3 linked regions of the Caenorhabditis elegans genome follow. The protein of the gene in region 1 interacts with the protein of each later gene in a pairwise test. Each region holds a gene or a part of one and is shown on either strand. Other genes may lie near its edges. The genes, in order: syf-1, isy-1 and C50E3.13.

Evidence for each region.
Region 2: the proteins of syf-1 (region 1) and isy-1 interact in a two-hybrid assay, tested with the Caenorhabditis elegans proteins (one large-scale study listed by BioGRID).
Region 3: the proteins of syf-1 (region 1) and C50E3.13 interact in a two-hybrid assay, tested with the Caenorhabditis elegans proteins (one large-scale study listed by BioGRID).

What each region holds. Positions count from the first base shown.
Region 1 is NC_003279.8:3,875,063-3,880,030, forward strand, and holds the start of syf-1 (Pre-mRNA-splicing factor SYF1), read left to right. Parts: upstream 1-2,000; 5' UTR 2,001-2,003; coding exon 2,004-2,069; intron 2,070-2,116; coding exon 2,117-2,236; intron 2,237-2,281; coding exon 2,282-2,938; intron 2,939-2,985; coding exon 2,986-3,158; intron 3,159-3,546; coding exon 3,547-4,322; intron 4,323-4,376; coding exon 4,377-4,486; intron 4,487-4,956; coding exon 4,957-4,968. Other genes in the region: uba-5 (Ubiquitin-like modifier-activating enzyme 5), read left to right, coding at 1-70, 120-665; T03F1.12 (Protein SYS1 homolog), read right to left, coding at 1,103-1,220, 1,268-1,440, 1,486-1,641.
Region 2 is NC_003283.11:10,998,288-11,002,765, reverse strand, and holds isy-1 (Protein isy-1), read left to right. Parts: upstream 1-2,066; 5' UTR 2,067-2,085; coding exon 2,086-2,157; intron 2,158-2,223; coding exon 2,224-2,298; intron 2,299-2,341; coding exon 2,342-2,496; intron 2,497-2,543; coding exon 2,544-3,045; 3' UTR 3,046-3,103; downstream 3,104-4,478. Other genes in the region: F53B7.4 (Low-density lipoprotein receptor domain class A), read left to right, coding at 232-302, 367-592, 636-774, 824-912, 960-1,059, 1,105-1,210, 1,366-1,544, 1,587-1,777; nssp-65 (Activin_recp domain-containing protein), read right to left, coding at 3,137-3,344, 3,487-3,629. UniProt on the Caenorhabditis elegans protein: Regulates the processing of the mir-60 microRNA (miRNA), which in turn negatively regulates the expression of the transcription factor zip-10. Does not affect the splicing of zip-10.
Region 3 is NC_003283.11:7,622,013-7,626,980, forward strand, and holds C50E3.13 (uncharacterized protein), read right to left. Parts: upstream 2,241-4,968; 5' UTR 2,141-2,240; coding exon 2,102-2,140; intron 2,059-2,101; coding exon 1,957-2,058; intron 1,578-1,956; coding exon 1,482-1,577; intron 1,432-1,481; coding exon 514-1,431; 3' UTR 315-513; downstream 1-314. Other genes in the region: C50E3.12 (uncharacterized protein), read right to left, coding at 1-17; grsp-4 (Glycine Rich Secreted Protein), read left to right, coding at 2,941-3,112, 3,437-3,475, 3,523-3,567, 3,659-3,721, 3,852-3,911, 4,046-4,105, 4,241-4,294, 4,342-4,391; F07C4.6 (ShKT domain-containing protein), read left to right, coding at 4,838-4,936.

The sequences.
Region 1 (4,968 bases):
TGGAGTCAGTGAGAATGCCGTGTCCGGCCATATTCAGTATATCGAACCAGGAAAGACGGCGTGTTTTGCTGTAAGTGAAGTTTCATCCTTGAAATCAAAACAAATGTTCATTTTTTCAGTGTGTTCCTCCACTCGTTGTCGCTTCGGGAATTGACGAGCGTACGTTGAAACGCGATGGAGTGTGTGCTGCGTCACTTCCAACAACAATGGCTGTAGTTGCTGGATTTTTGGTGATGAACACGCTGAAATACCTTCTGAACTTTGGAGAAGTCTCCCAGTACGTTGGATACAACGCATTATCAGACTTTTTCCCTCGTGACAGCATCAAGCCGAACCCATACTGCGACGACTCTCACTGTCTGCAAAGACAAAAAGAATACGAAGAGAAGGTTGCCAATCAACCTGTGGATCTTGAAGTGGAAGTTCCAGAAGAAGAAACCGTCGTTCATGAGGACAATGAATGGGGAATCGAGCTGGTAAATGAGTCGGAGCCATCTGCAGAACAATCTTCAAGCTTGAATGCTGGAACCGGGCTCAAGTTTGCTTATGAACCAATCAAGAGAGATGCCCAGACTGAATTGTCGCCGGCTCAAGCTGCAACCCATGATTTTATGAAATCGATCAAGGATAAACTCGTCGAGGAAGCCCAGAACAAAGGAAAATAATTGCCAAAAATCAAAATATAGATTTTTCCCATATTCTTGTCAATATTAAAATTGCTTTTATAAGCTAGTCTCTCGCCTTCCATCACACTCGCTAAATAATTTATTGTCAATCCCCTTCTTTTTTTTAGGAGCCAATTTTGGGTTTTTAGCTTCTATTTTTCCTGTATTCTGTCCCCCCTTCGCTCACTATCCCCTTGTATTGCATATTACACATCATCTGTGATTGAACTCCCTGTTTTCTATTTTATTCATAAAATCTTTATTATTTACTTTCTTCTGACTTTCTCATGCTCCTAATTTACAAGAGAAGAAAGAAGAAGAAACATCAGTTTATTTACACCGAATTAATTGATAATTTACAGGAACTGTCTATTTAATAATCGAATCAAACACCCGCAAAATGAGCTGAATAATTTAAATATGCTTCTCTGATTATATTAAAGATCGTAGCGAGAAGGACCACCTTCCAATTTTATTTCCTGCGATTCGATTCGCATGCACAGATATTCTCCAAGAACCGTGCAAACTGTTGTCGATATTACTTGAAGAATCCACCTTAAAAAGGAATTTGAATTTCAAAAGTTTTATAATTAAATCCTAACCATGTAAATTGGGTTGGAAGAGCATGGTTGTAAATAGTGGTAAATATTAAATGGAAAAAGTGCACTGTACAGGCAAAATCCAGGCATTGTTTCGCACGTTGCACTAAATGCGACAGTGCGAATGAGACTCCGACGGCGGAAACTAATTGAATTAATGCCATTGATCGTTGTGTCTGAAATAATAATTTTAAAATTAAATAGACTGGGAAAATCCAAACCTGTATTGAGAAAATAGAGGAAATGAGAGGTTCGTAGCCGAAAAAGCTGCAGAACAGCATTACTGAAGTTTGAGTAGCGTAGAAAAATGTCTGAAGACACGTCATTTGACTGACGAGGAGCACTGGATCCCAGACAAACTGCCGAAACGACGACATTCTGAAAATTCGGATACTTGCACAGGGAAACCGAGAATTTATCAATGTTTTGTAGAAAAACACATTCGAAGTACATGATTACAAAATTTCAATAATTAAGATTAATAATTAAAATTGAACAAAAACAATTCACATGTGAAATCACAACGTTTTTTTTCGATAAAATCTTTTTTCCTGAAAAGCCAACGCGTATTTCCACACCAGACTACGGTCCACAATTGCGTACTCTTTCGGTCTGCATACACCAGAACCGACGATCAAAAATCTCCCGCATTTTTCGAAAATTAAATTTTATTCATATTCTTTTTAATATTTAAAGCTCGGATTACTTTTAATTTGTTATATTTTTATCTTTCCAGATAATGGCCGACAAAGAAAATGCAACAAAAATTGAAAAAATGCCGAACTCTGAGACGATGAAAGGGATCGTAAGTGAAGAAACAATCAGAACAGGAAACAATAATGCAATTTTCAGTCTTCCGAAGATGTTCCGTTTGAAGAGGATATCATTAGAAATCCCACGTCAGTAAATTGTTGGCAGAGATATATCGATCACAAATTGCAGAACAAATCTCCTGCCAAGCAGATGTTTTTGGTAATTTTCATTTAATTTTCTTCAAAAAACATTTTTTAATTTCAGATCTACGAACGTGCACTTGCAGTTTTCGAAAGAAGCTACAAACTTTGGTATCATTATCTGAAATACAGAGAAAGCACAATTGTCAACAAATGCCCAACAGACAACTCCTGGAGAGCACTCTGTGACACTTATGAGAGATGTCTCATGAGATTACACAAGATGCCACGTATTTGGATTTGTTACTGCGAAGTGATGATCAAAAGAGGCCTCATCACAGAGACCAGACGAGTTTTCGATCGAGCTCTCCGTTCTCTTCCAGTCACCCAGCACATGCGTATCTGGACATTGTATATCGGCTTTCTGACAAGTCACGATCTGCCAGAAACTACAATTCGTGTCTACAGAAGATATTTGAAGATGAATCCGAAAGCTCGTGAGGATTACGTTGAGTATCTTATTGAAAGAGATCAAATCGACGAGGCAGCAAAAGAATTGACAACTCTAGTAAATCAAGATCAGAATGTTTCGGAAAAAGGAAGAACTGCACATCAACTGTGGACTCAGCTGTGTGATTTGATCTCAAAGAATCCAGTAAAGATCTTCTCGCTGAACGTCGACGCAATTATTCGTCAAGGAATCTATCGGTACACGGATCAAGTTGGATTTTTGTGGTGCTCACTAGCCGACTATTACATTCGTAGCGCAGAGTTCGAAAGAGTAAATTTGAAAAAGTGTTTTTTTTCTGAGCACAAATTTGATTTCAGGCTCGAGACGTGTATGAGGAGGCTATTGCTAAAGTGTCAACTGTACGAGATTTCGCTCAAGTTTATGATGCTTATGCAGCTTTTGAAGAACGAGAAGTGTCGATTATGATGCAAGAAGTGGAACAAAGTGGTGATCCGGAAGAAGAAGTTGATCTTGAGTGGATGTTCCAGAGGTTTGTATGTCAAAAATTCAAAAAAATGACCTAAGTTCAGCTATAATCACCAATTTCGCCAACTTTTCCGTGTCGCAGCGGTCGTAACATGACATTTACTTGATTAATGTCAGATTATTCGTATTTTTTATTTTATTTGTGCAGTTTATCTAACGCTAAGGTATATTAAAATTTAAAAAAAATCAATGACCGGGCACGGAAAAGTTGGAAAAAATTGGAGATTTTAGCTAAAATTGGCCTTTTTTTCGAAATTTAGCACCGATAAGAAGCCCTTTTTGAAAAAAATGTGTTGAGCAATTTTTGCAAAATCTCTTTGTAAAGCCTTTACCTTTACCTTTACCTTCAAATCGTTTAACTATAAATTTGTAAAACCCTCTTGAAATTCCAGATATCAACATTTGATGGAAAGAAAGAATGAACTAATGAACAGTGTACTTCTCCGGCAGAATCCACATAATGTTGGAGAATGGCTCAACCGAGTGAATATCTACGAAGGAAATTACAACAAGCAAATTGAGACATTCAAGGAAGCCGTAAAATCTGTAAATCCCAAAATTCAAGTCGGAAAAGTTCGTGATCTCTGGATCGGTCTTGCCAAGTTGTATGAGGATAATGGTGACTTGGATGCTGCTCGTAAGACGTTCGAGACCGCTGTGATCTCACAATTCGGAGGTGTCAGTGAACTTGCAAATGTGTGGTGTGCGTATGCCGAAATGGAAATGAAGCATAAAAGAGCAAAAGCTGCACTGACAGTTATGCAACGAGCATGTGTTGTTCCGAAGCCAGGAGATTACGAGAATATGCAATCAGTTCAAGCAAGAGTTCACAGAAGTCCGATTCTATGGGCAATGTACGCGGATTATGAGGAATGTTGTGGAACTGTTGAGTCTTGTCGGAAAGTTTATGATAAGATGATCGAGCTTCGTGTAGCTTCTCCACAGATGATTATGAATTACGCAATGTTTTTGGAGGAGAATGAGTATTTCGAGCTGGCATTCCAAGCCTACGAGAAGGGAATTGCTCTGTTCAAGTGGCCCGGAGTTTTTGATATTTGGAATACATATTTGGTCAAATTCATTAAAAGATACGGTGGAAAGAAGCTGGAAAGAGCACGTGATTTGTTTGAGCAATGTCTGGAAAACTGCCCACCAACCCATGCGAAATGTAAGAACTTTTGAAAAAGTTGAAATAAATCAAACAATACCAAATTTATTTTAGATATTTTCTTACTCTATGCCAAACTGGAAGAAGAGCACGGACTCGCCAGGCATGCTCTTTCCATATACAACAGAGCCTGCTCAGGAGTTGACCGTGCCGATATGCACTCGGTAAGCACAATTTTTTTTTTGTAAAATATTGAAAAATGTTGAAAGCTCAATTTTAAATTAAAAAATCCTGAATTTTCAGCGCTTTAGAGCTCAAAAATACCTGGAAATAGGAAAATCATAGCTTTCTGCAAAGAAAAAGGCACAAAATTCGAAATTTTCAGTCGAAATTGCGCATAGTGTAGCTTTTTATTCGAAAAAAACTATACGAAAATCCAATATTCCTGCTAAAGACGCAAAAATTTTTGGAATATAAATGTTTTATTTTTAATATATCTATAGCTTCCTGAGACCAAATGTTGTAAATTCTTGCTGAAAATTGACAAAAATTGGATTTAATTGAACAAAACGACGCAAAAATTATAGTTAAAAACACTTCAAAACAACAAAATTTCGCGAAATTCAATTTTTCAAACGAAAAATCACGATAAAACCCGATAAAACCCGCAAATTCTTCAAAATTGTCATTTTAGATGTACAATATC
Region 2 (4,478 bases), on another chromosome or scaffold:
ATCAGCCAATTTCCCAGTTTCACTATCAATTATCAAAATCGTTTCCGCATTTTTCAATTATGTGTTATATTTAAAAATAAAGGGTAAACGAACTTGAGTGGGGAATTGAAGATGATGTGCATCCGGAATGCATTTTCTTTCCGAATTGATGAAAAATATTGAATCTCAATGACTTCTTCACCCACCTTTTCGTTTTCTTGCCATGCGTCTTTTTTTTTTTAGATTTCCGAAATGTTTCTCAATTTGACATTTATTTTATTTTTCATAACTATAGAAGCAAATGCTTATTGCCCTTTTAAAAAGTAAGATTAATGTTTGAAGTCAATTTTTAAGAAAATGAGATCATGAGAATTCGTAAGTTTTCAGAGCATACGTCGATGATATTTTAATGATAACAACTGATGATTACTTATCTGTTGGGCAAGATGAAACATCCGAAGTTTGTGAAATTGAAATTCAAAGTCTAAATGGAAATCTTATACTTGTTTCCATTACCAATTTCCTTATGTTTTCCCATAGAAGACCACGGAATCCAAATGAAATTATATTACGAAACTCTGATATGCAGTTCATTGTGGACAGCAAGCCAAAGGTTAGATTACCGTAACAGTTACGAGAAATTATTAAAATTTTAGGGTTATCAATTAATGAAAACTCCAGTATGGTTGACAATTCCAATGAATCTGAATTTCCGATCGATTTTATTGTTTTCAAATCCAAAGGAATGCTCTTCATATGAGTCTATCAGATGTCCAGAATACAGCCTATGCTACAGTAACCTCATTTTTCACACAAAAACTGTTTTACCATTACTGATTTCTAGATTGCTCCAAATACTGTTTTTCTTCGAGTCTAGAATGTGATGGATTGGATACTTGCGGAGAAGATGAATCAACTTGTGCATTTATTACTGTAAGAAATGGTTTCAGAGATTCGAAACATTTATTTTATTTTTACAGCCACGTACACCTCACACTTCATACAGATATGGTAGAGATGCTTTATCATCAAGTCAGATTATGTTAATTGGATTCTTCGCTTTAAATGGATCATTTATAGGTGGATTCACATTTTCGAAAAAAAAAGATAACTTTTGGTTTACAGTATTCTTTCTGATATTATCACTATGTTCTGCCGGATTGTTCTATCGTTGCCCATTTTATGCCAAAAACAGCAACGCGTCTCGGCACACTTTTATTCGATATCTTCGGTGAGTCAACATGTCTGAAGTAGTATTATATTCAAAATAAATATCCCATCCGACACAAATAAAACAACTTTTTATGAGCTTAGAGCGTCTGAAAGATTAACCATAAAGCTCAAGGAAATACTTCCTTATTTAGTCTTAATTCTATATTATTGTAGACAAGCAATTCCTCCTGCACTTGCTCCACCACCTTCAGTTCAAGGGGACCAACCAAAAGATGAAGGAGAAAAGACATTAACTGTTCCGTCTACACCTACAGGTCATACACGACATCGTCATTCAATTCTGAGCAGGATTAATTTTCAACCTGCTCCTGCTTTGAGTGAAATTGAACCTGGTATTTGACAAAATTAGCTACTAAAACCATAATTTTCTTTAGAAGTGGAGGACAGAGAGCAATCACCACAAGAATCAATTTGTGAACCACCTGCACATCAGCCAGAAGTATTCCTTCGACGGCAAAGTCTTCCATTTGGACTCACTGCAGTTCCAGTCTCAAATGATTTAAATTCCAAAACTGATGATAAACGAAATAGATTCGCTTCAAGAGCTATGTCTTTTCAACATTAAATGAACTTATTTGTAATAAAGCTTTTACATTTATGATTTGTTTTCAATCAGAAAGAAACACTTTAAAAATTGCTCAATGATTGAAGGGTGTAAAATATTGAATTTGAATAACCGCCAATTGCTGCACAACGATACTCCGCTATTGCGCGAAAGTGCGCTCTATTTAGAAAATTTCATTTTCAAACATTTATTTTTTCGAAACAAAAATGCTCAATTTACTTTATATTTTTGTTTGATTCTGCTTTTATATCTTTTTATTTAATTTCGCAATTAAATTTAATTGTTTCAGACTTACTCGAGCTTTAAAAATGGCCCGAAATGCGGAAAAGGCTATGACGGCGCTAGCACGATGGCGAAGAATGAAGGAGGAAGAGGAGAGGGTAAGTTTTTCTTTTCATTTTACTCTTTTTTTTTGAATATTAATATCAAGATAATTTTAATTGCAGGGTCCTATTGCCAGAAGACCCCACGATGTGAAAGATTGCAGGAATTTGTCAGATGCTGAGCGATTCAGACGAGAGGTTAGATTTTGTATGAAAACCTGTAATTTTGAACTTTATTTAGATTGTGCGAGATGCTTCGAAAAAGATCACAGCTATCCAAAATCCTGGTCTCGGTGAATTCAAGCTTCGGGACTTGAATGACGAAGTTAATCGACTGATAAAACTGAAACATGCTTGGGAACAACGTATTCGAGAGTTGGGTGGTACGGACTATCGGTAAGAAAAATGACAATTAGACATATTATTCTTATTATTATTTTCAGAAAGTATGCACAAAAAGAACTCGATGCAATAGGGAGGGAAACGGGCAATTCCCGAGGTTACAAATATTTTGGAGCTGCAAAAGATCTTCCCGGTGTACGCGAACTATTCGAAAAAAGCACAGAAGGTGAAGAACAACGACGCCATCGTGCTGATTTATTGAGAAATATCGACGCTCACTATTTTGGTTACTTGGATGACGAAGATGGTCGCTTAATTCCTTTGGAAAAACTAATTGAAGAGAAAAACATTGAACGAATCAATAAGGAGTTTGCCGAGAAACAAGCTCAAAAGCAACAAACTGCTTCCGATGCAGCACCTGAAAATATCTATAAGGTCGAAGAAGACGATGACGACGACCTGGAAACTCAAGAGTCTACAGTCATCGGAGAGGATGGACGACCAATGACTATTCGTCATGTTCTACTGCCAACTCAACAAGACATTGAAGAAATGCTTTTGGAACAAAAGAAGCAAGAACTCATGGCTAAGTATCTGGATTGATTCCTTGTTTAATTTATTTTCTTTAAATTTTTCATCTCAAATTATGAATTTTCGGTTTTATTCATTTATTTTATTAATTCATAATAGAAAATTACAAAATTAGAAAAATGAAAGAAGATAATACAAGTAAACTGAGCGGCATCGTCGTTCGTGATGATGTGTTGCAGAATTCTCTGTGCGAACACATACACGCTATCTCAGATAACGATATCCTTTTGCAACCTTCTGGATAGTATGTGTGAATAAGTGTATCGTGAGGAAGGCAAGTGAGAGCAATTGAGACTCTGTTTAGATGGTTTCTGAAAATTAAGTTTGGAACTATTCAAATATAGAAATTGATTTTAAGTCAAGGTTTTGTAAGGTTATTTATTTAAATTTATTTTTGGTTAAAAAAATAGTTTTCCATTTGGATGGAAGGTTAAAAATTTGAGATCTTCCAACCTCTGAACTCGAAGACAAGCTGCTCCTTCGCACAATGAGCATGTATTAGATATCGCACAATCTGAACCGTCAAGGCACCACATCTGATGACTGTCACGACACAGAATTACAATGACAAGAAGAATTGAGACGCCGACGGTCATCGGCGCTCGAGCATGACCGGCTGAAAGTGGTGTCTGAAAAACTGACCAATACGAGTGAAGTTTATGGACATCAAGAGAGATGATGAATTGAGAATAATGTGTATTTGGGTAGAAGAAAGTTCCGTTTTATAAGTGAAAATCGATGAAAAACAGTAAAACAAAGAAATGGGAGGAGCCTATTTAGGGAATTCCGCACGTTGCACTTTTTTCCGTTTTGAACCTACCTAAAATTTAGATTATCTGTTTGACTGTAGACATGAACAATTGAAAAAAGATAGAATGGCTGATCACAATAATACTTTGAAAATAGGCTCCGCCCAGATCTTGGCTTTTTGAGCTTTCTTGGATTTAATTTTTTTTTCTAACTTTTGTCTTATATTCTCACAACTCCGGCGCGATCCCCTTCCCGAGACTACAGTATTCCTACAGTAACCCTACAGTATACAGTACCTTTACCGTACTACAGTACCTAGATCCTATCTCCACAGTAACTTCTGCTCACTATCCCATCAAAAGCCAGAAGTTCATTAACTGCAATGTCTAAAAACTGCCTGGATTTAGAAAAACAATATTCAACACTAAAAGTTTATATTGTTGAATCAGGAAATTCCGTCACATGACAATTTGATAAAACATTCATATCAAAAAGAATTCGGCGAATTCTATCGGCAGGTGAAAAAAACTCAAACTCCGACTTTTGATATAATACTAGTAATTCACTTAGTGGTCACCCCGTACACCGCCCCGTGAATAGAATAAAACAAGGAAAATGGGGGTGGTTGTTGTAGAGTATTCTTACTAGGCAATAGTAGTAGTATCAAAGTTAGTGACAAGCGGTCCATGATGAAG
Region 3 (4,968 bases), on another chromosome or scaffold:
TCTCCAGACACATTCATCTCTTACAGTTAGTAGCGATTTGAGATGTAATCTGAAAATTTACAAATTTTGTTTAAAACTTAAAACGAAGTTAAAAGAGGGAAAACTGAAAATTGTCAAATTAAAATAGAAAAAAAATATAACTGACCAAAACAATCGATTATAGCGAGGGAAAGGAAGAATATTCGGAAAAGGACACCGGTAATTTTTCCGGGACAATTGTAGGTCAAACAACAACGGTCTTATGAATATTCGAGGGGAACCCCCTCCCGCGTTACAAAAAACATTAAAACATGCGTACATTGTAGATCAAAAAATTTCATATCATTTTTTATCGTTTTTTGTCAAAATTGCTATCGAAAATAAAGGTCGTAATCAATATTTAATCAATATTTACCTGAAATGAAATAAAATAAATAAGATACATCAAAGAAAATTGATATTAAAAAATAAACAGACTGGATTATAAAATAAAGATTTAAAATAAATTAGTATCAACTTGAGTTCATCATTATTTTAGCAACTTCTTCCAAGAGCCTGGGAAGATGTGGATGGAGCATTCCACATGCTTGCGCTGCTTCCCGATCCTCCTTCATCATCATCACGACGTGGTCGCTTGGGCCTCCAATTCGATGGACCTTCCTGATGATCAATCTCTGCTTCATCCTCTGATTCCTCTTCGTCACTCTGATACACAGTTCCTCCACTATCGTTCAAATCAGGATCATCAGCACCCAAGCCTTCTGTTCCACGCGGATTTAAATATTCTGCACGATTAGTTGATATTCCTCCGCCACCTATAACAGGGTTGACCACAAGACTCAGAAGCTCAAGAAGATCTGGTAATTCATCGACATGATGTTCATCTTCATCCTCAGAATCGTAATCTTCTTGGTTCGAAGGACCGGCCCGATTTGATGCACGTTCCCTGCGACGATCTTCTTCGGTACGTTGTCGAGTAGCTACTAAACGCTCATAGTCTCGAATCGCTTGTTCATGCGGCTCCCGTCGTCTTTCCCAGGAATTTGCGACACGGTTCAACCGATCATTCAGAGTTTCCATCCAAGTATTAACACTTTGATCTGTTGGATTTTTAAATCTTCTCAATCTCCAAATAAAGGTTTTTCGGGCGATTCGTTCCCTTTCATACAGTTCGGCCCGCGCCCTTCTCAGTAGAAGCACTCGGTTTTGCACAGTTCGGATAGCCAAATTTTCGGCAGCCTCGTCTTCGTAGTTTCTCCGATTTTCAAGAACATCTAGCCTTCCAAGATATCCAGCTCGACTTCTGAGTTCGTTTTCTTTTTGTAAGAGTTCCTCTCCAAGTGATTCTGTCATTCTAATTAGTTCCAGCTCCTGCCGATATTCATCTTCCAATTCTTCTAGTCGTGCTACTTCTGCTCCAATTTGAATAGTGGTGATCAGTTGACTGGGATTCTGAAAAATAAAATTTGGAAAAGTTGTTATATTTTTAGAATCAGTATTACCACTGCTATCAAGTATTCCAAATTTGGTGGAACTTGCAGGTTATCGGATGCGTTTGGAACTTGTGGTTGAATCGGTGGCTGCCTGGCAGTGAGATCCTGTAAAATAAAAAAAATAAGCCTGACTTCACCACTAATCAACCTTCAACTAGAAAATTGCACAAAATGAATCAAAAGCAGACATAAAAAACTTCCAGAACATTCTCCGAAAATCGAAAGAATCTCGTTCTTTTTGTTACGAAACATAAATCCTCTCAAAAGCTAAACCCACAAAGTTTAATTTTACTGAAGACAAAACGTTCAGCTTCGGTCAATTAAAAAACTGAAAGCCAGAAGTGTTATAAATTATTATTTCGTTTGCTTCTCCGATTTCAGAAAAAGTATAAATAAACAAAAAATCATTTTCACTATTTAGGTACCGTGGTAATTTTTAAAGCACTAGGTAATCTTTAGAATCCCACAAGAACTCATTCAATACCTCATCTGCGCTCTCCTGATCATTTGGCTGCGGAACTCCTTCCAATACTGGCTCAACTCGTTCTTGCTCTTGTCCTTGTCGGGACGATCCACCGGCGTTGCTCTGAATTGCTCTTTTCAAAAAAAAGTTAAATTCTTTTACTTACATCACTGGCTCCCGCTTCTAATTCTTCAGGTCCGGACATCACTCGGCGTGGAGAGGAAACTCGAAGAAAAACGTTTGGATCGTAACAAGAAAGAGAAGAATGAGTTCAATTAGATCATTGTTCTATTTAATTAATAATTAGATCAAGGAGTATTTTGCGAGAACAAAGAAATCTCAGCGCTGGAGAATTTTGTAGATCAAAATTATTTTAGTAGATCATGAGTATATTTTTTAAAGTAATAAAAATTTATGAAATCATTTACATAAATATAACACGTATAAAGGAAAATTATTAAAAATTCAATCATCCAATCGGCTCAATTTGTGCCCAAATAACAGTTTTGAATTTTTGAAGCAAAGTCAGTTCAAATTTTATAGAAATTTCGAGCATATTTCCAGCGGTTCTTTTGATGTTTTAATAAGTGTTTAAAATTTTTCAAAAATTTTCAATATTTTCCCCGACAATCTTTCAATAAAATAACTTGTGATAACTTGATCTTTCTTTAACTATCCAAATTCCTCCTCATTTGACCTTTGTCTTCAAAATCAAGTCAAAATCAAAGAAACATAAGTTTTGTAATTTTTCGTGTGAAATTCTGTTTCTATCATCATCATTATGTTTCGGTGTAACTTTATGTGTCAAATTCTTTTTTAGGTCGTCTTGACCGACCTTCAAAAGACCGAGATAAGACAGGAGGCGTGGCACCACATAAAGGAAGTTTTGGAGAAAAAGTTTTAGTTGTTCTTTCATTTATTTCTCAGTTTCCCTTAATGTGTATTGAGTTTTGAACCTGTTACAAGTATTTTTAAACTTTAAAACAATATTTTCGTATGTTTAGTATGTACAAATTGACCATCTTCCTTCTTGTTACCCTTCTTGGGCTCACCGTCGGTCAATGGGGTCCAGGATTCGGTGGGCCTGGATTTGGAGGACCTGGATCTGGAGGACCGGGACCACGTGGCCCAGGAGAATGGAATAATGGCGGTGGACGTGGTGGATTTGGAGGAAATAGTAAGTTCCTGTTTTGTGAGAGTTTTTTTTGTGAAACTTTGGCCTTCTTTATCTAAAGTTTGATAGGTATGTGGCATTTTTATCAGATCAAAATAGGAAAATTGACTTCCTTGTTACTTATCGGAACATATTCTTCTTCAAACAGTGCATCGTGTGTTTGATGGACCTTATATCCTATACAAGACTCAGTTCTTATCCTCGCTCACATCAAAGATAACAAGAAATATTAAATTATAAACTACAGAAACAAGACATATTTTGTTTGAACAAAAAAAGATAATTTGAGCTATTCATGTTTATCGATAAAGTTAATTTCAATTCCAGACGGATGGAACAATGGTGGTGGTGGTTTCAATGGAAATGGTAACTTATTATTTTTATTCTCAGTTTATTTAAATTTGATATTTCAGGTGGATTTAATGGAGGTGGTCGTGGAGGCGGACGAGGTGGAAACGGTAAGAACTCTTCTTGTTGTATAATAATTGATTTTTGATTTTTTTTTTGAAGTGTTAGATCAAACTAACAATTAATAATTTCAATTTTTAGGTGGATTTGGAGACAACGGAGGTCTGCGTGGAGGAAATGGGGGAGGTCGCGGTGGTAACGGAGGTCGGTTTCAATCCAACTATTGAAAGTTTCAAAGTTGCTTGAATTAAAAATTTTCAAGCAATCTTTTTTTAAAAATACCACAAATTCCAAAGCATGATTATGTTAGAATGTATTGTTAAACTATTTACAGGATTTGATGACAACGGAGGTGGACGTGGAGGAAATGGAGGAGGTCGCGGTGGTACAGGAGGTCAGTTTTCCCTCAAGTTATTGAAAACTTTCAAAGCTTTTAAAATCAAAAATTAAAATCTAAGCAATTATTACAAAAATATCACAAATTCGAAAGAATAGCCTGGTTGAAAAATAAAAATACACTCTTTTCAGGATTTGGTGACAACGGAGGCGGCCGTGGAGGAAATGGAGGAGGTCGCGGTGGAAACGGAGGTATTCAATAGTTTAAGTGAAAAATTATAATTCTTCTATCATCGTTTTAGATTTTTCAATGGGACTGTTAGATTCAGAAAATGTGTTTATCATAATTTAAAATAATTTTAAATGTTCAAATATTTTCTCGTTTAGGAGGAAACAATGGAGGAGGCCGTGGTGGAAATGGAGGAGGACGTCCACAAATTTGTAAGTTGCATCATAAACTTCAAGTTATCAAAACTTGACTTTTTCAGCTGCCGGCGAACGTATTACCCATAATGTTCTTGGAGCTCTTCTTGGATAACTTTGTTTTTTATAATCAGCATTTGATTTTAATAAATAATAAAAAAACTCAAATTAAACTTTAACTTTGAAAAACTTTACATTTTTGTGAACATTTTTCACTTGAAAATTACTCTTTTTACAACTACTATATCAAGGCTAAACTAATTTTTATTCAGTTCTGACTTACTTCGTTTATTCATTTATTAAGCAAATTGTATATCGACGAAAAATGAACGAACACACGGAAATTAGAGATTAACGCTCTAACAATCGCTGTTCAAATACCGTTTTAATTTTTTGATAGTAAACAATTTGTTGTGGTGTAAACCAAGCTTCCATTAAAATCTGTTCAAACAATATCCTCATAAACTTCGACCCTTTAAAACTATCCATCTGTTTAAACATTTTGATACCATTGAATCCATATAAAAAAGGGGGATGCGGATAGGCCGTTCATAATTCACAATGTATGTTGTTGTATCAGTATTAGTTGTGCTACTTGCATCATCTTCGCTTGCCCAGATTCAAGGAGAGTTGAATTGCACTGCGTACAATGGAACATCGGTAGTGGCTTTAAATAACTGAAAATTAACTAA